4 linked regions of the Macaca fascicularis genome follow. The protein of the gene in region 2 interacts with the protein of the main gene of each other region in a biochemical or structural test. Links are inferred from orthologs where the notes say so. Each region holds a gene or a part of one and is shown on either strand. Other genes may lie near its edges.

Region 1 (5,935 bases), on a different chromosome or scaffold from region 2:
GAGCATGTGTGTGTGTTGTGTGTCACAAGAACATGAGGAGGGAGTAAGACTGCTAGATAGTGAAAGGTCTTGAAGTCCAGAGTCAGGAATTTGAACAGTATGCCTTGGGCAATAGGGAGCACTTTATGTTTTTGACCTGGGAGTAACATGATCAAAGCCATGTTCTAGAAAGATGTGTCACATCTGTGGAAGGGCCCATACTGAAGGCCAGGAGATGAGCTGGGAGGCTCTGAGGATGGGCCAGAACAGGGGCAAGGAGGCTGGAGAGGAGAAAATTAATTGAAATCATTTTGTCATCACTGCTAGTTCTGGGTGGCATGTAAGGGTGTTTACTATTCATTTTTCATTCCCCCCCGCCCAGGTTAAATAAATAAATAAATGATACATGATTGTAAAAGTTGTCCATTCGATGGAAGACAGGTCTCAAAACAACAACAACAAAAAACACCTCCTCCAAAGTTGTTGAGAAACCCAGTCTGTCCAAATGGAGTACCCAACTTGATCCAAGCAAGAGCACACTCTCCAGGTTATACAAAGCACGTCTGCTAGGCAAACAGCTCCCCTCCCAGCACCAACACCACACCAGCAACTGGAGTCTCCAGTCATGGATGAATGGAGAAAACGAGTTCATGACTTTCTGTGGTACAATGTGTATTTCATAAATAATTGCCTTATTATGTCAAAGCTAAGTTCCAGGCTGCAAGTCTACCTGGAATGTGTCCTGTGCAGTTTGAGATTTTCCTTTACATTTTTTCTAAGCTAGATGGTAAGACTGGTCTTGCTTCATGTGGGCTCTAATCGCTCCCTCTTAGGGCTAGTATTTCCCTCGCTGCTTTTCTTTCCCTTCCTGCATCTCTCCCTTCTTCTCCTCACCACCAACCTCCCCAACCCCCAACCCCCAACCTAGTTCTCTGTCTCTGCTTCCTCTTTCCCACTGTCTGGTTGCATTTGAAGACTTAAGCTATCTCTGTCTCTCTATATCTCTTAGCTCTGCCCCCCACTCACTCCTTCCTTTGCCTCTTCCCCTCTCTTCTTTCTTCTCTCCCTCTATTCTCACTCTGCATCCCTTCCCGGTATGTACAAAAGATTCCATTTTTAAAAAGGAGCAAGGCTTTTGCTTGCACAAGAATCTGATCCACAAATGTGGTCACTGTAAGGCAACTAGCTGAGTCCAGATTCAAGAAAAGAAAAATCTTGTCAAAGAGAGAGTGCTGAATGGTGGCCATTCATTTTGAGGGAGGCGGGTGAATCCTGTGGCTCCCAGTTGTCCCTGCACACCAGTATCACCAGGCAGTCTTCCAGCTGGGAAATCCCTATTTGCCAATAAGCCCTGGCCAGCCCCCATTCCTTTCCACTAGGAGCGAGGTGGCACTGTTGCTGTCACATTGCGTGTACTGCTCCAGCTACTCCTTCCGCTCAGCTGAGAAAAAGAAAAAGCCATAAAATTCAGAACCAGCTAATGTCAGCACTGCAGGGGATTTCAGAGATCCCTTGGTCCAACCCTTGTCAGGTCACTGGTGGAGAGACTGGGGCCCCATGTCACTAAATGCCAGGGAGATCTATTATTAGAAAACCCAGACCTAGGACCTGTTGCAAAAATCCCTCTGCCCTGGGAACACCTCTAGATTTTGAACAGAATCTTAACAGAAATCTACTATCTAGCATCCGAATGTATAAAGAGATAGAAGCAGCTTAAAATAGAGACAGAAAGAGGTTCAAATGCACATGGTGCAGGTACGAAATTCACTACATGTTCCCTGCACGAAGGATTTGGGCAGGGAAGTGTGTGGAAGATGGGGCTGCAGTGGTAGAGGGCTCCAAGCTCTGAAGACCTTTTTAATATGGCTGTATTGTAATACTGCAGTGCCAAACCCCACCAGTCATTCCAAAAGCAAAAGGAAGCCCCGCTCTGCAGCAGAACTTCCCAGGCCTGGAAACAGATTGTCTTTCTTTTGCACCCATTTAATAACCGCTGTATTTAACATGATCACGGGAAATGTGCATCCTCGGAAGGCACAGTAAGGAACCTCGGTCTGCAACGACGCGATTCCTCGGACACGAAACTAAAATGCATTCATTGGAACTCAGCCTCCCAAAGCGGAAGCAAAAACACAGCAAGGCGATTTACAGGCAAGAGCCCCTCTGAAAGAGAGGAGAGGAGGGGGCTTGGAAAGCAAGGGGACACACCTTTTCTGAGCTGTTCGAAACAGGCTGCCTGCAAAGTCCACCCATACTGTGCTGCCAAGGGTTAATTTTATCGGCAAAAATTGGTACACACACACACAAACTCCTACTGCACCCCCACAACCTCAGCCACCACCACATAGTTGGATCTTTTTAATCTTAAATTCTCAGAAATTCCCTGATCAGCCCTATCTTTTCGGAACAGCCCCTCCACCTGGGCTGGATTCCCACCTCATCATCAGTGAAAGCCCAGAGAGCCGGGCATAATTATTTTCCTACAAGGTTATGCCTAATTGGCCACTAACCTAATTGATTAATCATCTTATTTTTCAAAGCAGCATCAAAGAGCCAAGCTGAGAGGGCAGAAAGAAAGCATGCGTCCAGATGGCGCGAGGGTTAAAATTACAGACTTTGGGTAAGACCCCTGGCCAGCTTGCCTGGTTTCTAGATACAGAAGTGGACAAAAAAGAAATGAAAACGCGGACTGAGCGAGGAAATGCGCAAGATCACAGAAGGACTGAACCTGCCGGGAACCTCAAGGCTACCCAGCTAGCCCGAGTCCAGTCGTCGACGCGGATGAAGTTGTTTCCTCGGAACAGAAAGGGTTAAATGGCTGCGCGTCAACTCGGCCTCAGCTGGGGTGTCAGGGAGCAAGAGCCGCTTGGCTCGGGCGATTCCGCGTGGTGGGGGAAGCCCGAGGGTCGCCCTGGCGCTCCGGCCACAACTTGGCCGGCTCGGTGCGGCAGCCCTCGCCTGCGCCTTTGCGCGCCACCCAAAACTTTGCGCACACTGCAGCCGCCGCCTGCCCACTCTGCGCGGTGAGACGCGCGCCGCCAAGCGCCGCGGGCAGCCCTCCGCAGCCGCCGCGGCAGCCGTTGCCTGGCTTCTGGCTCCAGACTTTTCCCCTGCTGCCTCCAGTTCCCACCCAGGAGGCTCTCTCGCGGCCGCGAGACCGCGGCGCCCAACCCACAGTGGGCAGTGCGGGCGCAGCGTTGCAGACCACCACCTCGCCGGGTGCGGGCAGCGCCCACTGGACGGATGGGCCCCCGCGGCCGCCCCTACCCCGGCGCGCCCACCTCGAGCCTCCCACGCCGCGGCGGGCGCAACATCTTTTCCTACCTCCAGCCGCCGAGGACCACACTCTCCGCTCAGCCCTCTCGACTCATCCTCCGGCTGCAGTAGAGGACGAGCGGGCTCCGCTTTTGTTCCCTGGGGCTGGCAGGTCCGTGTGGGGCCAGGGCGCGCGGGAGATGCCGCGGAGCTGGGTATCCCGGAGAGGGGATGCTCACTCCCAGCAGCTCCGCTGGCAGCAGTAGTGGTGGTGGCAGCAGAGGCAGCGGCAGCAACAGCAGAAGCAGCAGCAGCAGCAGTAGAGATAGTGCCGGCTCTCTGCAGGCCACATCTTTCATACCTTATACATCACTACCGCATTCCCCCGAATAGGGGAGCCCCTCAGCATTTCGCTACCTAGCGCGGAATGCTGTTGCCCGAAGAGGTGGCGCGGCCTGACCGACCTGGCCTGAATGTGAGCTCTGAGTGGGAAGGACCTCAGCACCCACTCGCAGACTCCCTTCTCTGCTACGGTCACAGTGAGGTCTACAACTTGCAGCCATTCTGCAGTCTTCACCGTTTGCGGTGCTCAGTGTCTGCTCCCCTGGGAAGTATGGGCTTCGGGTTAAGCAAAAGTGATTTACTAGGGAGAGCCCTCTCTGAGCTGCCTCTAGGGTCTTGGCCTGCATGTGCTTTTACACAGCCTCCTCCTTCTTGCGGTGTTCACAGGTGCAAGATTTTGCAGCAGCAGACACACACTCTCCTGCAGGTACATAAACCCCTGAGACATGTTATGCACACCCCACAATCAAGTGTGTGGGCACTGAAGCAGACAGACCAGGGTTTCGGTTGTATCTGTGTGGTCTTATCAAACGACCAAATGATTGAGCTTCCATTTCTTCATCTACAAAATGGGAACCATATGTCTCATAGAATTGTGATAATCACATGAGACAAGCACAGAGCTTGACACATGGTAAGTGATAGCAAAACATGAGTTTTTCTTCCTTCATCTGACGCAGGTCTGCCCTTCTTGAGGTAATTATATATCAGTAACAATTCACTCATCAATAAATATTTTTGTGTGCTTACTATGAGCCAACCTCTACTTTATGGAGACGGGCAGAACATTCAAAAGAACACAGACAAGTAATTTTTATTCTCTTGTAACCTGCTCTCTAGTAAGGCGGAAAATAAACAAGTAAATCAGCAAGAAGCTATTGGATAGTAATTATCACTATTGACCAAAATTTAAGTAGATGACGACATGTGATAGAAAATGACTGGGGTAGGACATCAGGCTGGGCGTTTGGGAAACAGCCCTCTAAGCACATGACCACTGATCTGAGGTCTGTATGATAAGGAACCAGTCATTAGAAATAGTGAGAACAAGTGCCAAGGCCCTGAAGAAGGAACAGGTTGAATGTGTTTGAATAGCAGGAGGAAGGAAGTGTGGCTAGAATGTAGCAAGAGTGATGAGTTGGTGACATGAGATTAGGTGCAGAGGGAAGCTGGTCTTATGGGGAAAGATCAGTAAGGGAAATTGATTTGATGCCAAGTTTGGAGTTTTGGGGGTTAAATAGAGATGTCACAGTTACAGGATTGGAGACAGTGTGATTTTTATTTGTAAAAGCTCACTCCAGCTGCTGTGCAGAGAATGTACTGAAGGGGGCATGAGTGGAAGGAGAGGATCCAATCAGAGTGTCCCACAGTGCTGAATAAAAGTCCCTTTCAAGTCCCTGACCTCCACAACCACAACAACTTCCCCTCTGCCTGTAGTTCCACTAGGAAAAAGGCCACTGCACAGCTACCCTGGAAGCCTGGGTATGAGTTTCTCCTACCACTCTCTGAGTATCCTTTTCCTTAACTGGAAAATATAAATAATAACATATATATTCTCATAAAATTATTGTGAGGATGAAATGTGACAAGGAAAGCACCTAAGGGGCTAAATGACCATTAATTTCATGTTCAACATTTCTCTACTTTCAGGTTTTCAAGGAGCCTCTGGAGTGCTCCTACAACCCTTCTGTCCTGTCCAGGATCAGGCAGGGGTTGCCTGTTTGTTGAATCCACGAAGAGCTTCTCTCAGCATCTGGGATGCTTGCATTTGTAATGCCAGCCCCTGAACACATCTGTCTTTTTCTCAAGCAGGAAACATTTCGAGCAGGAACGATTTTCATTTTGTTTAGGTCCTTTCGATTTTTTTCTGTCTGCCACCCTCATCTAGTTTGAAGCATGCAGGACATCATCATATAAACCACTCAAGGTATAAAAATAGAAAGGAAAACAGAGCTGTTGGGGGATGTGTAGAGCCAGAGATGGCAAGAAAGGAAAACAGACAGTCCTTTCTCTCTTAGCAACAGGAGGAAAGGTTCTCAGCTGAGACACGTGATAATTTCTGATATCAGTATAGTGTAACAGATTCCAGAGGCCTCCAGGATCATGCTCCCCACTGCTACCACGGAAACTCAATGAGATAAAATAGGCATGATTTGATATTGCCCCCCTTTGACAGATGAGAAAGCTAAACCCCAGACAGGTGAAGTAGCAGAGCTGGAACTTGGACCCAGGTGCTCTTGACTTTCTCCTTCTCTATGCCCAGGTGCTTCAAATGACCCCAACCTTAATGGTGTTGCCTAATTCTCAGGGCCCCAAAGCACTTATCCAATTGAGACCCAGAACTGTAGATCTCCAAGAC
Region 2 (5,248 bases):
GCACGTTGGGGTGGTGTGAGTAGCAGACACTGGGGAGGGAAGCTGGGCTCCAGGCCAGGCAACTCACTGCAGTTGGCGGGCTCATCACTGCCATCCACACAGTCATTGTCCCGGTCGCAGACCCAGACCCGGGGGATGCACCGTTTGGTAATGGAGCACTGGAACTGGTTGGGAGCGCAGGTCACCTCGGCTGCGGGGCGGGCAAGAGAATGAGGGCCCTCCCTTACACCTGCCACTCCAATTCACCATCACCACCTTCTCCCTCTTCCAAGCCCTGGCCTTGGTCCTGCCAGCAACTTCTTGGGAGGAAGGAACAGTTTACCCCCAGTTTTGGTGCTTTTTGTTTTCTGGATCTCTATGTCTCTATATCACGCGTGGTGATTTTTATGAGCAAAGCAAGTTACACCCAATATAATTTGTGTTGCCCATCTACTAAAGCTATTTGAGAGCCTCTCAAAGCTGTGGGGGGGATTCTGCCTGCCCTGCTTCCATGTCATCTCCCACCGCTGCCCCACCACCACCTCTGGCACTCACGGCAGTCCCTCTCGTCCTCCCCGTCTCCGCAGTTGTCCTGCCCGTTGCAGCGGAAGATGCCGGGAATACAGCGGTTGGTGTTGGTACATTTGAACTGACTGGGCAAGCAGACGTGGATGTCTGTGGGGGGAGGACGGAGTGACTCGTGGCGAAGGGAGGATTCAGGGGCAGGGAGAGGGTGCCCATCCCTCAGCAGGGAGGACAAAGGCTTGAGCCGCAGGAATCCAGCCTAGAGAGCAAGCTGCCATGGGCTGCAGCTTCCCTGTCCTTGAGAGCCCCAAATCCTGGGGCGGGGAAGATGCTGGGGAAGGAGGGAGGGCGGCCAGGCAGTGCTTTACCACAGTTGGCCTCGTCACTGTTGTCCTGGCAGTCATTGTCTCCATCGCAGATGAAGGCAGGGTTTGTGCAGATGCCTGTGGAGCACTGGAACTGTCCGGGCCGGCACTTGAACTCGGCTGCCAGAGAGGGAGGCTCAGGGTCAGAGTGGCTGGGGTGGACACGGCCAGGTCCACTTGCAGCCACAGCCTCCAGTGGCCATTCAAAGCCTCAGGAGTCAGGCCGCCTCTGACACAGCTGGGGACCCTTGTGTCACCCCCAGCAGGCACTCACGGCAGTCCGGGGGCTCATCTGAGTGGTCCCCGCAGTCGTCCTCGGTGTCACACTTCCACCAGAAGGGGATGCACTTGTCGTTCTTGCACACAAACTGGAGGGCAGGCGGGGGCAAGAGGGGTTGGTGGGGATCTGGGAGACTCAGAAGTCCTTCTTTTGAGGGGGTTGGATGTTTCAAAGAAGTTGAGGCAGGGGTCAGGGTGTTCTGGGGCAGGTTGGGCTATGGTGAGTGCAGAAAGGCCAGGTGTGGCGCTGTGTGGGGTAGGGTGGGGAAGGCAGCACTGGAGCATGGCGAGGAGGGTCAAGGTTAGGGTGTGGAGGTATCTGTGTGAGGTGACGGGGGTAAAAGTATTGCTGTGGGGAGACAAGAGGTAGGCAAGAAATGTGGGGGTGTTAGCGTGGGAAAACCAGATGTGTGAGGGCATTAGGACAGAGCAGGTGTTGGGGTCCAAGGAGGATTGGGGGTCAGGGAGTGGGCACTGGTGATGGGATCTGGGGGACAGCCTCACCTGGCTCGCTGTGCAGTTGGACACACAGGTGCGCCCATCGCTGCCCAGGTAGAAGTTGGTGGGGCAGGCACATTTGTGCCCTCCCCCGGGGGACAGCAGGCACAGGTTGCTGCAGCCACCATTGTTGACCTTGCAGGGGTGATTGGGCACTGCCAGAGAAAACGTCGTGAAATGTGGTGACATTTCCTGCCTTACCAAAGGCTGCCTCTATCACTCCATCCTGGACAGAGGTGAGTGGCCTAAACTCTGCCTCTTTTAGGAGGGAGCTGAAGCCAGAGACAGGAGAGGATTCTCTCAGGGTCCCCGGATCAGGCCAGGCCTGAAGGCCAGCTCCCACCTCCTCTGTGCTTCCCCCCCAGGGTCCTTCTGGGGGCCCGGCACCCAGACCCCCCACTTGATTGGCCTCAGGGCCTTGCTGCTGCCAGATTCCAGGACTGGATCCAGGCTTGGCTGAAGCTCCCGGGAGCCAAACCATCCCCTGTCTAGACCCTCCTGGAGTCTCCCAGTGTCTGGCCAGGAGAGGGCTTGGTCAGTGCTGGAGAAGGGATAAGCAGGAACTCCCAGGGACCCCAGTTCCCAGCTCACCCTTCACCTGCTCCCACCCCTTGCCTGCTCACCGTCCGGCTGGCGCAGGGCGTGGAAGACGTGCAGGTCCATGGGCCGGTGCAGCGTGCTGATGAGGAGCGTTTTGTTGGTGCCCGTGGTCTTGTGGGCTCGGTTGATGGACTTTGTTTCCCAGTCGGTCCAGTAGACGTAGTCCTCAAACAGGGTCAGTGCAAAGATGTGCGGGATGTCCTGGCTCAGCACTGTGGGGCCGAGGGGCAGGCACGGTGCCAGTCAGCCTGAGCTCGGACAGGGTGCCAGCCCACTCCACCTCCTCAAGCCCCACCACCACCCTGCGAGGTGGGTGTCAGCCCCAGTTCCAGATGGTTCAGGGGCCCCCCATGGTCTCACAGTTAACAAGTGTCAGAGCTGGAGTTCAAACCTAGACTGCCTCATGGCAAGTTCCTGCCCCGCCAGCGTATGGTTTCCCTTGGGAAGTGGGGAGCACTGCAGCTCCCAATCGCAGGCCTCCCACCCCCACCCTCCTCGGGGCCAGTCCTCCAGAACTGTGTATATAAGGGAAGGGCCTCTCCCTGGGTGGTGGCCAGGCTGGGGAAGCCCCTGGGGTGCTCTGAACCTCACACCCCAGCGAGTGGTGTCCTGAGGCCCTGTCCTCTGCTTTTTATGTCCACTCTTGCCCCCAAAACTTGATCCCCTGTCGCTTCAGACTTCCATCCCCACCGAGTCTGCTGTGCCCGGACAGCCTCACTGGCACACTGACCAACGTGGCGATTGGAGCCATCCAGGCTGGCAAACTCAATGTAGTCCTCGCGGGCGTCAGCCCAGTAGATGCGCTCAGTGACATAGTCCAGCGTCAGGCCGTTGGGCCATGTGATCTTGGTGTCCACAATGACGCTGCGACTGGACCCATCCATGCCGATGCGGCCAATCAGTGAGTGGTCACCCCAGTCTGTCCAGTACAGGTACCTGGCGATGGGTAGGCAGTGAGCCCTGGGAGATCCCATAACCCATCCCACCAGTGGCCTGCAGGGAGGCTGGGCTTGGATGCTGCTTTCAAGGGCTTCCCCACCCCTCCTCAGCCACATACCCATTCTGCACATCCACCACCAGAGCCCTGGGCTCGCGGAGGCCAGAGCTGACCAGCACCGTCCGATAGGCCCCATTGAGCTTGGACACCTCAATGGTGTCCCGGCCTTTGTCGCACCAGTACAGGTTGCCACCCACCCAGTCCACAGCCAGCCCGTCGGGGTTGCTGAGGCCTGTACGGTGTAGGACCTGCAGGAAGGGGCAGGGGAGGGAGAGCTCTGGGTGACCTGGGGGAAGACCTGCAAGCCTCTGTGAAGCTCAGCCTCCCCATGCATAAAATGGGGTAGAGCTCCCTCTGCCAGCTCTGGTGGGAGAACCATGGAAGTAAAATGCCCAGTCCTGGGCCTGACACTATGTACGTGTCAGCAGAGCCTCTAGGAGAGGGGGCTCTAGGTGGGGAATGGGACCACACTCCAAGCCTCACAGTGCTTGGCCAGACCTCAGGGGGAACTTCCTGATAATTAGGGAGACGTGGGGCTAGCAGTGAGGGGAAGAGCAAGAGGAATCTCCTGGTCCTTGCTGTCTGGGCCCAGAGGAGAGTAAGCAGCCAGAACAAGCAGTCATACAGTGACTAGTGGAGTGAGAAGGAAGCAATTTGGGTTGGTGGGACGGGAAGGAGAGACGATCTGAAAACAGCCATCTAGGGTGGGCCAGTGTCGGTCGCTGAGGGCCGCCTGCCTTACCTGCACGTTGCTCCCATTAAGGTGCATCCTTCGGATCATGCTGCCCTGGGTCGTCACATCTGTCCAGTAGATCATTTGCTCTCGGTAGTCAAAGTCCAAGGCAACGGCATTGTTCAGGCCCTGGATTAGGGGAATGAGGGAGAGCAGAAGTCTGTTGTGGCAGCAGGGGCCACATTTACATCTGGGGGAGGGATGGTTGGACCTAAGTGGGGAGACTTGCAAGGGAGGCTGTGCTGGGTCTGGGAGATGGGCAAAGGGGAGGAAGGCCTGGGTTTGGTACCTGCTTAAGTAACGTGTAGTTGGACCCATCCAGGTTGAGCTTGCGTAGGTAGTACCGGTTGGCAAAGATCAGAAACGGTTCCTCGTCTGCAGACAGAGGATCTTGCCTCAGCTCCTGGCACATTCTAGTGGCCCTGGTCTCCTGCCTGTCTGGAGCTCTGCCACCCGGGCGGTCCCACACAGCCCCCAGCTGCCTGGGTCACCTCATGCCCTCCAAGCGTGAATCTCACCAGTCACAGCCTTGCAGCTGTGGGGGTCGCCGCCGCGGGGTGCGTAGCCCTCCACACACAGACACTTATAGCTGCCATGGGTGTTGATGCAGCGCTGGCTGCAGGGGAAGGTGGTGCTGCACTCATCCACATCGGCACATGTCCGGCCGTCGTCCTTCAGCCGGAAGCCAGGGCGACAGCGGCACTGCAGGCACAGGGAGCCTTGGGCTGGGCGTGTGGCAGGGTCTGGGCCTCCCACCCTGGAGACCTGGCTCAGAGACTCCAATTCCTTCTACCCGGCCTCATTAGGGGCAGCAGCACATCGGTACTAAGTCCACCCAGCTGGCTGTCTGGCCTTCGCAGTCCAGGCCTCCTTCTGTGCGCCCCCGAGTGCCATTTGACAGAGCTGCGTGTGCCCTCCCCCTGGAAACGCTTTCTTCTCATGGCTGTTCTCCTGCCTCAGCAGCTGCTCCTTCTCAGGCTCTTCTGCTGGTCCCCTCACCTCCCTGCTCCTGGCTGTTGCTCAGCTTGGGGCTCAGACTTTGGACTGCTCTCTTCTCCACCTACACTGCTCCCTTGGGAATCATATCCAGATTCATAGATCCAAATAGCATCTCTATGGTGATAACTCCCAGACTTCCCTCTCCAACCTGGGCCTCTCCTTGAACTCCAGATCTGTGTATCTCTTGCCTACTTGACGCCTCACTCCTCTTTTCCTCTCACACTCCGTATATCATCTGTCAGCAAATCTGCTGGCTCTCTACCTGCCAGATAG
Region 3 (5,755 bases), on a different chromosome or scaffold from region 2:
TACTAAAAATACAAAAATTAGCCAGTCTTGGTGGCGGGCACCTGTAATCCCAGCTACTCGGGAAGCTGAGGCAAGAGAATCACTTGAACCTGGGAGGTGGAGGTTGCAGTGAGCCAAGATTGTGCAACAAAAGTGAGACTCCATCTCAAAAAATAATAATAATGTAAACACTACATAGATGTATGGATAGAGATTAGAAGAGAAAATTAGATGTTGGAGTACTGTCATTATTGGTGAATTGTTTTTCAGTTCCTTTAGTGATGCTTCTAAATGGCTTTCATAAAAGTAGACGTACTGGCTCCACACTGGGTGACCAGCCCAACACTCTCTTTCTGGCCCTGGAAGGGCCTGGTTGTTCATGGAAGCATGTCAGAAGAATAGGAATTTTCCTTATTCCTTATGATGGAGTATCCATGAGTTTATTCAAATTATTTTTGAACACATCTCATTTTCAATCAATTCTTTTGTGGAGTGAGTTGAGTTTCTTAGGTTGGTTTGCTGATTCTTCAACACAGAACTTTCTCTGCTCCTAAATCTACCTCTTTTGAGCCTCCTAACACATCCCACATCCCCAGCTATCAATCTTCAAATAAACACCCCCCCCCCCCCCCCGCCAAACCCTGCCCCGAGCTGGTGAATATGCAGGCTACTGGAATGAGCCTGCGCCTGGAAGTCAAAAAGTTTCCTTTCTCTCCTCTGAGGTCAGTTGTGCGACTCTGGGCAAGTCCATTTGCCTTTGCTAAGCTATAGGTTCCTTGCGTTTCAGATAAGAGAAGTAAACTCACAGGATTATTATTTGACTCAAATAGGATACCATGGGAAGGAAAACGCTTTGGGACATGCTATTGGTGACTTAGTAAACTGTTTTATAAACATTTTTTGTAGCTTTGTTCTTTAGCTATATCCATCCTCAGAAGGAAAGAACTTTGCAAGGGAAAGCCTCATACTCTTTTCTCAAAGATGAAGAAAGGAACTTTAAAGAGCCCCTGACTAAAATTTTCTCCAACTGTCTCCTGAGCAACATAGGTCTCACACACGAAAAAGAACCAAGGCTACAAAGTTAAGAATTGGAGAATTCTCTCAGAGCAGTAATTTTTTTGACTATTTAGCTGATATGGTTTGGCTCTGTGTCCCCACCCAAATCTCACCTTTAACTGTAATCCCCATAATCCCTACGTGTCAAGGGCAGGACCAGGTGGAGGTAATTGGATCATGGGGGCGGTTTTCCTCAAGCTGTTCTAGTGATAATGAGTGAGTCTCACGAGTTCTAGTGGTCTTATTATTGTCTGGCATTTCCCCTGCTTGTGCTCATTCTCTCTTCTGCCGCCCTGTGAAGAGGTGCCTTCCTCCATGATTGTAAGTTTCCTGATGGTCTGCCAGCCATGGGGAACTGAGTCCATTAAACCTCTTTTCTTTATAAATTACCCAGTCTCGGGTATTTCTTTACAGCAGCATGAGAACGGACTAATACATTAGCCGAGTAAAATACATTTTTTAAATTCCCATACAAGATAATGATAGGTCTACAACTTTGTTTTGACTGTCTAAAAACTGAAAAACAATAGTAGTTTAAACAAAAAACAATATCACTGCACTAAGTAGAAGATAATAACAGGGGAAACTGCGGAGGGAAGAGAAGGGATAATAATAGGGGAACTCTGTGCTTCCTGTTCAATTTTTCTGTAAACCTGAAACTGCTCTAAGGAATGTCTATTAATTCAAAAAATATTGACAAGATGCAGTGGTTAACATCTATAATCCAAGCACTTTGGGAGGCCAAGACAGGAGGGTTCGCTTGAGTCCAGAAGTTTGAGACCAGTCTGGGCAACAGAGCAAGACCCTGACTCTGAGAAAATATTTTTTAAAAGTCATTCAGGGCTTGAATCTGGGAGGTGGAGGTTACTGTGAGCTGAGATCGTGCCATTGCACTCCAGGCTGGGCAACAAGAGCGAAACTCCGTCTCAAAAAAAAAAAAAAAGAAGAAGAAGAAGCCATTCAGGAGGCTGAGACAGGCAGACCACTTTAGCCCAGGATCCCAGGGCTGCAGTGAGCTATGATCATGCCACTGCAGTACAGCCTGGGCAACAGAGCAAGACCCCAAACTCTAAAAATTAAAAAAAAGAAAGTACTTGCAAATGAAAAATATTATCATTTCTGATATTATAAAATCATATCTATATTTATGTATGCATATTATACATAAGAATTTAATTTTATTTGCAGAAATATTTGGTCTGTGAGAACATTCACTGCCATCTGCTTATTTACATATCCAAGTATATCATAGCTAATGAATATAGGAATTTTATCACAGTCTTATAATTTTAAGGGTGTCTATGGTCAATCTGTTTGGTAAAATTGAGCTACTCTTTATTTAACTTAATTAATTTTGAGACAGGGTCTCACTCTGTTGCCCAGGCTGAAGTGTAGTGGCATGATCTTGGCTCACTGCAACCTCCACCTCCCCGGTTCAAGTGATTCTCTCACCTCAGCCTCCTGAGTAGCTGGGATTACAGGCACTACTTAGCCATGCCTGGCTATTTTTTTTTTTTTTTTTTTTTGATAGAGACAGGGTTTCACCATGTCGGCCAGGCTGGTCTCGAACTCCTGAACTCAAGTTATCTGCCTGCCTCAGCCTCCTAAAGTGCTGAGATTACAGGCATGAACAACTGTGCCCAGCCTACTCCCTATTTTAAACGTGCAAACTCTGCAAAGTGGCTGTGCTGAGGCACTTCCAAATGCCACCCGGCTGGTGCTGGAGTTTTGGTTTCTGCTCTATGGGTCCTTCTTCTTCTGGACCTGGTGCCACCAACCTTTGCAGCCTCCTATGGAGGATGGTGCTTGTTTCCTTTCAGCCTTTCTGGTCATTTCTTTTCTTGTTTTAAAATAACAACACCAGGTCAGGCGAGGTGGCTCACTCCTGTAATCCCAGCACTTTGGGAGGCCAAGGTGGGAGGATTCCTTGAGCCTAGAAGTTTGAGACCAGCTTGGGCAACATGGCGAGACCCCATCTCTACAAATAATTCAAAAATTAGGTGTGGTGGCACATGCCTGTAGTTCCAGCTACTTAGGAGGCTGAGGTGAAAGGATCCCTTGAGCCTGAAATGTTGAGGTTGCAGTGAGCTGTGATCGCATCACTGCACTCCAGCCTGGGAGACAGAGTGAAAGCCTGTCTCTAAAACTAAAAAATAAATAAATAAACAAACAAATAACACTGAAAATAACCAAAACCAAGTGAATATGGATAACTCAATTCCTTCTGACCCCAGGGTGACTCCAGAGTCCCAGGCCATGGCTGCGTCTGGGGTGGGCTCCTTTGGGAGAGTGGCCAAAGCCCTACTCACCTCAGTAATGAGATCACTCAGACCTGGGGGCAGGCGCGTTCCAGGAGAGCATGATGACTTCCGCAGCAGAGGCTCTTGCATCAGTTCTGGTCACCCACGGGAGACTGCATGTGCTCGGGGTGACAGGAACACCACTGTTTACGTGGGACCCACCTCCCGCCATGGCATCACAGGACTCGCCGCCCCGGCCTCCTTCCTGAGTCAAGCATTTTTGTCCAGTGAATACAGCTTTGGTGCAGCTTTCCGTATCTTCTCTCTCCTCCTCGCCACGGGAAGTGACACATATTTTATAGAGCTGTTCTTTTGCTTCATTCTAACTGTACATTTTTTCCTCTGTGAGGAGTTTGCGCCAATCGAAATGAACTTGAGATCATTTTCCCCCCAGCCTGTCTTTATCTAGGGGCACACAGCTTCCTGTCTGATTTTAGTCACCGATTGGATTGATGGGCTTAATCACATTCCAAATGTCCGTTGTCCTATCTCCCTGTGTGTGCAGGACTGGCTCAGTCTGCAGCTTTTATTAGAAATCAACAGAAGCCACCAGAACACAGAGCCCTGAATGAGCACTATGGACCCGAATCATCCGACCTGAACTCCAATGTAGAAGAAAGGCCCTCTGCACGCACCTGCTGACCTGCCTGTCACCACTCTCACAGCTGTGCCGGGACAATGGCACAGACCCACCCATTCCAAAGTTACCATCTGATATGTGTGGGCTCATGCAGAAAGTATGCTATAATGTGAAGACATAAATCAGATGGAAAAACACATTGATGCCAACTTGTTTTTTTTTTTTTTGAGACAGAGTCTTGCTCTGTCACCCTGGCTGGAGTGCAATGATGTGATCTCGGCTCACTGCAACCTCCGCCTCCCGAGTTCAAACGATTCTCCCGCCTCACCCTCCTGTGTAGCCCACTACCATGCCCGGCTAATTTTTGTGTTTTTAGTAGATATGGGGTTTCACCATATTGGCCATGCTGGTCTTGAACTCCTGACCTTAGGTGATCCACCCGCCTTGACCTCCCAAAGTGCTGGGATACAGGCTTGAGCCACTGTGCCCAATGCCAACTTTTAAAAAATGCACACTCCCTCAAAGGGTTAACAGCACAGGAGAGGTTGTTGCTGAAGGTTTGCAAGGTAATTGCTCTGAAATCATATTAGAAACCAAAGCAGTAAGTGTGCTTCCCCAGTAGAGAGTGTTGACAGGGACTTGGGTTTAGAATAAGAAGGAAAGAGTTTCCAGCATGTCAATGGGCACGGTGGCAATGGTTCACGATGGGTCATTGAGTCTAGGCTGACAGAGGGCAAAGGGCTGAAAGATAGGGAGGAGTAGCGCTGAGGAGCTGTGGAGACTCCAGGAGCAGGAGGCAGGGAGCTGGGAGGGCCATCACACACAGCTGTCCCCCTTAACCACAAGGATGTGTTCCAAGATCCCAATGGATGCCTGAATCCATGAGTAGTACCAAGCACTATATATAAAATGCTCTTCCCTATACATCCATACTTAGGATCAAGGTTAATGTGGCCGGGCGCGGTGGCTCATGCCTGTAATCCCAGCACTTTGGGAGGCCGAGGCAAGTGGATCACTTGAGGTCAGGAGTTCGAGATCAGCCTGGGCAACATGGTAAAACCCTGTCTCTACTAAAAATAAAAAACTTAGCCAGGTGTGGTGGCGTGTACCTGTAGTCCCAGCTACTCAGAAGACTGAGGCATGAGAATAACTTGAATCCAAGAGGCGAAGACTGAAGTGAGCCGAGATCGTGCCATTGCACTCCAGCCTGGGCGACAGAGGAACACCGTGTCTCAAAAAAAAATTAAAAAAAAAAAAAACAAACAAAAAAACATGGTTAATGTATAAATTAGGCGTGGCAACAGACTAACAACAACAACCAATAGTAAAATAGAACAATCATATCAAGGTACTATAATAAAAGTTATGTGACTGTGGTCTCTCTCTATATACCACTTTCTCAACTTATTATAGTTCTGAGCTGGGCACGGTGTGGCTCACACCTGTAATCCCAGCACTTTGGGAGGTCAAGGTGAAGGATCGCTTGAAGCCAGGAGTTCAAGATCAGCCTGGGCAACATAGTGAGACCGACCTCATCTTTACAAAAAAGTACAGAAAATTAGCCAGGCATGATGGTTTGCGCCTGTGGTCCAGCTACTTGGGAGGCTGAGGTAAGACGATCTCTGCAGCCCAGGAGGTCAAGGCTGCAGTGAGTGCTATACCACGGGTAGTTACCCTGTGGAAAGTGAAACCACAGATAAGCCAGGGGGGTCACTCTAACATGGAGCAGAGAAGGAAGCAGCGGTGGGGAAATGAAAGTATTCTGAGTCATCAAGGAAGGTGACAGTGATTCCTGATTCTGCATGGCGTGGCCCTCCAAGTCATCATACCACCACCACGA
Region 4 (6,036 bases), on a different chromosome or scaffold from region 2:
TTCTGAGTACTAGGGGCAGCGTGCCCAGTGGGCCTGGGGTCCCGGGAAGGATTCCGGAATTGAGGGGCACGCAGGATTCTGAGCACCAGGGGCAGAGGCGGCCAGACAACCTCAGGGAGGAGTGTCCTGGCGTCCCCATCCTCCAAAGGGCCTGGGCCCGCCCCGAGGGGGCAGCGAGAGGAGCTTCCCCATCCCCTGTCAGTCCACCCTGCCCTGTCCACTTTCCCATCTACTCCTCGGTATAAATCATGTTTATAAGTTATGGAAGAACCGGGACATTTTACAGAAAAAAACAAAAAACAACAAAAAATATATGTGGGAAAAAAAAAAGATGGGAGGCCTCCGTTTTCTCAAGTGTGCCTGGCCTGTTTGGAGCATTTCATCCAGAGTCCGGCCGCCCTGACCTTCCCCCGGCCGCCTGCAGGGGGCGCCAGAGGGCCGGAGCACGGAAAGCAGCGGAGCCGCACCACTGCCTGGCTTGACGCTGCATTGAGTCCGGCTCAGAGGGGCGCAGCGTGGCCCGGGATCGCGGTCTCCCCATCCGGAACATCTTCCCTGCTGGGGGACACCTCGGGCCTTCTGTCGTCCGAGGGTAGGGTCTCAAGGTCACTCGCCCCAGCTTGACCTGGCCGGAGTGGCTATAGAAGACTTTGTCCCTGCAAACTGCAGCAGCAGAGATGACACACTCTGAGTGCAGACATGGGGGGGCAGGGAGCTGGGAGAAGGTTCAAGCTACTGGAACAGCTTCAGAACAACTAGGGTACTAGGAACTGCTGTGTCGGGAAGAAGGGGCTCAAGGACTTGCAGGCATGAGAGGAGGGGCCTAGGCCAGACTAGGCTCCTTGTGCAGCCATGGGGGTTGGGTCACCTATGTCTGAGGATGTGGTGCTGTCTGGATTTTGCCAACCTAGGGCTGGTGTCAGCTGACACCCAACACCACCAGCACCACTCCCGAGCCTCCGGGAACTGAAACCCTGTCTACCCCCAGGGTCTAGGGAGGGAGGCTGCTGAGTAGAGCTGACCCCAAGTTACCCACAGAAGCTACCTCAGCCACCCCCTGCCAGCCAAAGCAAACAGGCCCGGCCTGGCACTGGGGGTTCCTTACCGGGACCAGGAGTCCAGCCTCCCCTGACTCGCAGAATCCTCTGATCCCACCCACTCCAGTTCTCGATGTGTGACTTTGCCATTCATCTCGCTGCTGAACCGCGGGTTTCTCCTCTGAAACATCTGGGATTTATAACAGGGCTGTTAGGAAAGGGACAGCATCTGAGCGCTCACTGCGGCCTGTCCATTGCTAGCCCTAACAGGACCACTGTGCCAAGGCTGTCCTCCGTGCTCCATACACGTTAGCTTGTCACCAAACATATCCGTGTCACTGCTTTCCCAGTCTGATGAGCAAAGGAACCCGATGCTCAGAGAGGACAAGTCATTTGCCCAAGGTCACACAGCTGGCAACTGGCAGAGTCAGGATTCAAGCCCTGGCAGTTTGACTCCAGAATCCTAACCTTAACCCAGAAGCACAGCTTCAAGACCCTGGAAACCACAATGCCTGTGGCAGCCAGGGGGAGGTGCTGGAATCTCATTTTACACGTGGGGAGGGGTGGGTCCCCTGTGCTCAAGGTCACAACCAAAGAGGAAGCTATGATTAAAACCCAGGTCCCACTCGCAAAGCCTAGACTTTTAGCAGATGCACCACACTGTTCCCACCCCCCTCCCATCCCACTTCTGTCCAGTCGCCTAGCCCCACTTTCTTTTCTTTTTTCTTTTTCTTTTTTTGTTTTTCTTTTTAGAAAGCATCACTCTTGCTCAGGCTGGAGTGCAGTGGCGAGACTTCGGCTCACTGTAACTTCCACCTCCTGGGTTCAAGTGATTCTCCTGCCTCAGCCTCCCAAGTAGCTAGGATTACATGCGCCCGCCACCACGCCTGGCTAATTTTTGTATTTTTAGTAGTGATGGGGTTTCACCATGTTGGCCAGGCTGGTCTCAAACTCCTGACCTTAAGTGTTCCGCCCACCGTGGCCTCCCAAAGTGCTGGGATTACAGGCGTGAGCTACCGCGCCCAGCCCCTCCCATCCCACTTCTGTCCAGCCCCCTATCCCTACTTTCTTTCTGGGATCTAGGAGTCCAGATCCCCAGCCCCCTCTCCAGATTGCATTCATCCAGGCACAGGAAAGGACAGGGTCAGGGAAGGAGGACTCTGGGCGGCAGCCTGCACATTCCCCTTCCACGCTTGGCCCCCAGAATGGAGGAGGGTGTCTGGATTACTGGGCGAGGTGTCCTCACTTCCTGGGGACTGTGGGGGGTGGTCAAAAGGCCTCTATGCCCCACCTCCTCCCTCTGCCCTGCTGTGCCTGGGGCAGGGGGAGAACAGCCCACCTCGTGACTGGGGGCTGGCCCAGCCCGCCCTATCCCTGGAGGAGGGGGCGGGACAGGGGGAGCCCTATAATTGGACAAGTCTGGGATCCTTGAGTCCTACTCAGCCCCAGCGGAGGTGAAGGACGTCCTTCCCCAGGAGCCGGTGAGAAGCGCAGTCGGGGGCACGGGGATGAGCTCAGGCGCCTCTAGAAAGATGTAGCTGGGACCTCGGGAAGCCCTGGCCTCCAGGTAGTCTCAGGAGAGCTACTCGAGGTCGGGCTTGGGGATAGGAGGAGCGGGGGTGAGGCCAGCAGCAGGGGACTGGACCTGGTAAGGGCTGGGCAGCAGAGACGACCCGACCCGCTAGAAGGTGGGGTGGGCAGAGCATGTGGACTAGGAGCTAAGCCACAGCAGGACCCCCACGAGTTGTCACTGTCATTTATCGAGCACCTACTGGGTGTCCCCAGTGTCCTCAGATCTCCATAACAGGGAAGCCAGGGGCAGCGACACGGTAGCTAGCCGTCGATTGGAGAACTTTAAAATGAGGACTGAATTAGCTCATAAATGGAAAACGGCGCTTAAATGTGAGGTTAGAGCTTAGAATGTGAAGGGAGAATGAGGAATGCGAGACTGGGACTGAGATGGAACCGGCGGTGGGGAGGGGGAGGGGGTGTGGAATTTGAACCCCGGGAGAGAAAGATGGAATTTTGACTATGGAGGCCGACCTGGGGATGGGGAAATAAGAGAAGACCAGGAGGGAGTTAAATAGGGAATGGGTTGGGGGCGGCTTGGTAACTGTTTGTGCTAGGATTAGGCTGTTGCAGATAATGGAACTAGGCTTGGAAGGCTAACCTGGGGTGGGGCCGGGTTGGGGTCGGGCTGGGAGTGGGAGGAGTCCTCACTGGCGGTTGATTGACTGTTTCTCCCTCCCCAGACTGGCCAATCACAGGCAGGAAGATGAAGGTTCTGTGGGCTGCGTTGCTGGTCACATTCCTGGCAGGTATGGGGGCGGGGCTTGCTCGGTTTCCCTGCTCCTCCCCCTCTCATCCTCACCTCAACCTCCTGGCCCCATTCAGGCAGACCTCGGGCCCCCTCTTCTTCTGCTGGTCTGTCTTCCCCTTGAGGGGAAAGCCCAGGTCTGAGGCTTCTATGCTGCTTTCTGGCTCAGAACAGCGATTTGACGCTCTGTGAGCCTCGGTTTCCTGCCCCCGCTTTTTTTTTTTTTTTTTTTTGAGCCAGAGTCTCACTCTGTCGCCCCGGCTGGAGTGCAGTGGCACAATCTCAGCTCACTGCAAGCTCCGCCTCCCGGGTTCACGCTATTCTCCCGCCTCAGCCTCCCGAGTAGCTGGGACTACAGGCGCCCGCCACCATGCCCGGCTAATTTTTTGTACTTTGAGTAGAGAAGGGGTTTCACTGTATTATCCAGGATGGTCTCTATCTCCTGACCTCGTGATCTGCCCGCCTTGGCCTCCCAAAGTGCTGGAATTACAGGCGTGAGCCACCGCGCCCGGCCTCCCCATCCTTAATATAGGAGTTAGAAGTTTTTGTTTGTTTTTGTTTTGTTTTGAGATGAAGTCCCTCTGTCGCCCAGGCTGGAGTGCGGTGGCTCCCAGGCTGGAGTTCAGTGGCAGGATCTCAGCTCACTGCAAGCTCCCCCTCCCAGGTTCATGCCATTCTCCTGCCTCAGCCTCCGGAGTAGCTGGGACTACAGGAACATGCCACCACACCTGACTAACTTTTTTTGTATTTTTAGTAGAGACGGGGTTTCACCATGTTGGCCAGGCTGGTCTGGAACTCCTGACCTCAGGTGATCTGCCTGCTTCAACCTCCCAAAGTGCTGGGATTACAGGCGTGGGCCACCGCGCCCAGCTGGGAGTTAAGAGGCTTCTAATGCATTGCTTTAGAATACCAGACACGGGACAGCTGTGATCTTTATTCTCCATCACCCCACACAGCCCTGCCTGGGACACACAAGGACACTCAATACATGCTTTTCCGCTAGGCACGGTGGCTCACCCCTGTAATCCCAGCATTTTGGGAGGCCAAGGTGGGAGGATCACTTGAGCCCAGGAGTTCAACACCAGACTCGGCAACATAGTGAGACTCTGTCTCTACTAAAAATACAAAAATTAGCCAGGCCTGGTGCCACACACCTGTGGTCCCAGCTACTCAGGAGGCTGAGGCAGGAGGATTGCTTGAGCCCAGAAGGTCAAGGTTGCAGTGAACCACGTTCAGGCCACTGCAATCCAGCCTGGGTGACAGAGCAAGACCCTGTCTGTAAATAAATAACGCTTTTCAAGTGATTAAACAGACTCCCCCCTCACCCTGCCCACCATGGCTCCAAAGCAGCATTTGTGGAGCACCTTCTGTGTGCCCCTAGGTACTAGGTGCCTGGACGGGGTCAGAAGGAACCTGAACCACCTTCAACTTGTTCCACACAGGATGCCAGGCCAAGGTGGAGCAACCGGTGGAGCCAGAGACGGAACCCGAGCTTCGCCAGCAGGCTGAGGGGCAGAGCGGCCAGCCCTGGGAGCTGGCACTGGGTCGCTTTTGGGATTACCTGCGCTGGGTGCAGACACTGTCTGAGCAGGTGCAGGAGGAGCTGCTCAGCCCCCAGGTCACCCAGGAACTGACGTGAGTGTCCCCATCCCGGCCCTTGACCCTTCTGGTGGGCGGCTATACCTCCCCAGGTCCAGGTTTCATTCTGCCCCTGCCACTAAGTCTTGGGAGTCCTGGGTCTCTGCTGGTTCTAGCTTCCTCTTCCCATTTCTGACTCCTGGCTTTAGCTCTCTGGAATTCTCTCTCTCAGTTCTGTTTCTCCCTCTTCCCTTCTGACTCAGCCTCTCACACTCGTCCTGGCTCTGTCTCTGTCCTTCACTAGCTCTTTTATATAGAGACAGAGAGATGGGGTCTCACTGTGTTGCCCAGGCTGGTCTTGAACTTCTGGGCTCAAGCGATCCTCCCACCTCGCCTCCCAAAGTGCTGGGAATAGAGACATGAGCCACCTTGCCCGGCCTCCTAGCTCTTTCTTCGTCTCTGCCTCTGCTCTCTGCGTCTGTCTTTGTCTCCTCTCTGCCTCTGTCCCCTTCCTTCTCTCTTGGTTCACTGCCCTTCTGTCTCTCCCTGTTCTCCTTAGGAGACTCTCCTCTCTTCCTTCTCGGGTCTCTCTGGCTGATCCCCATCTCACCCACACCTATCCCAGCCCTTCTCGCCTCCCCCTGTGCGCACACCCTCCTGCTCTTTCGGCTGCAGGACGCTGATGGACGAGACCATGAAGGAGTTGAAGGCCTACAAATCGGAACTGGAGGAACAGCTGAGCCCGGTGGCGGAGGAGACGCGGGCACGGCTGTCCAAGGAGCTGCAGGCGGCGCAGGCCCGGCTGGGTGCCGACATGGAGGACGTGCGCAGCCGCCTGGTGCAGTACCGCAGCGAGGTGCAGGCCATGCTGGGCCAGAGTACCGAGGAGCTGCGGGCGCGCCTCGCCTCCCACCTGCGCAAGCTGCGCAAGCGGCTCCTCCGCGATGCTGATGACCTGCAGAAGCGCCTGGCAGTGTATCAGGCCGGGGCCCGCGAGGGCGCCGAGCGCGGGGTCAGCGCCATCCGCGAGCGCCTGGGACCCCTGGTGGAGCAGGGCCGCGTGCGGGCCGCCACTGTGGGCTCCCTGGCCAGCCAGCCGCTTCA

What was found.
Region 1: the proteins of LRP1 (region 2) and DAB1 form a complex in vitro, tested with the Homo sapiens proteins (2 studies listed by BioGRID). The link is inferred for Macaca fascicularis from reciprocal best matches to the Homo sapiens genes LRP1 and DAB1.
Region 3: the proteins of LRP1 (region 2) and PLAT form a complex in vitro, tested with the Homo sapiens proteins (2 studies listed by BioGRID). The link is inferred for Macaca fascicularis from reciprocal best matches to the Homo sapiens genes LRP1 and PLAT.
Region 4: the proteins of LRP1 (region 2) and APOE form a complex in vitro, tested with the Homo sapiens proteins (2 studies listed by IntAct, with this or other methods). The link is inferred for Macaca fascicularis from reciprocal best matches to the Homo sapiens genes LRP1 and APOE.

Annotation. Positions count from the first base shown.
Region 1 is NC_088375.1:176,440,124-176,446,058, reverse strand, and holds the start of DAB1 (disabled homolog 1), read right to left. Parts: upstream 3,565-5,935; 5' UTR 3,304-3,564; intron 1-3,303. UniProt on the Homo sapiens protein: Signaling adapter of the reelin-mediated signaling pathway, which regulates the migration and differentiation of postmitotic neurons during brain development.
Region 2 is NC_088385.1:63,998,728-64,003,975, reverse strand, and holds part of LRP1 (prolow-density lipoprotein receptor-related protein 1), read right to left. Parts: intron 4,679-5,248; coding exon 4,495-4,678; intron 4,352-4,494; coding exon 4,266-4,351; intron 4,106-4,265; coding exon 3,986-4,105; intron 3,492-3,985; coding exon 3,304-3,491; intron 3,183-3,303; coding exon 2,977-3,182; intron 2,459-2,976; coding exon 2,270-2,458; intron 1,802-2,269; coding exon 1,653-1,801; intron 1,238-1,652; coding exon 1,144-1,237; intron 990-1,143; coding exon 873-989; intron 655-872; coding exon 535-654; intron 191-534; coding exon 68-190; intron 1-67. UniProt on the Homo sapiens protein: Endocytic receptor involved in endocytosis and in phagocytosis of apoptotic cells. Required for early embryonic development. Involved in cellular lipid homeostasis.
Region 3 is NC_088382.1:45,723,626-45,729,380, forward strand, and holds the start of PLAT (tissue-type plasminogen activator), read right to left. Parts: upstream 3,565-5,755; 5' UTR 3,345-3,564; intron 1-3,344. UniProt on the Homo sapiens protein: Converts the abundant, but inactive, zymogen plasminogen to plasmin by hydrolyzing a single Arg-Val bond in plasminogen.
Region 4 is NC_088393.1:52,937,025-52,943,060, forward strand, and holds the start of APOE (apolipoprotein E), read left to right. Parts: upstream 1-2,472; 5' UTR 2,473-2,518; intron 2,519-3,289; 5' UTR 3,290-3,312; coding exon 3,313-3,355; intron 3,356-4,796; coding exon 4,797-4,989; intron 4,990-5,607; coding exon 5,608-6,036. UniProt on the Homo sapiens protein: APOE is an apolipoprotein, a protein associating with lipid particles, that mainly functions in lipoprotein-mediated lipid transport between organs via the plasma and interstitial fluids.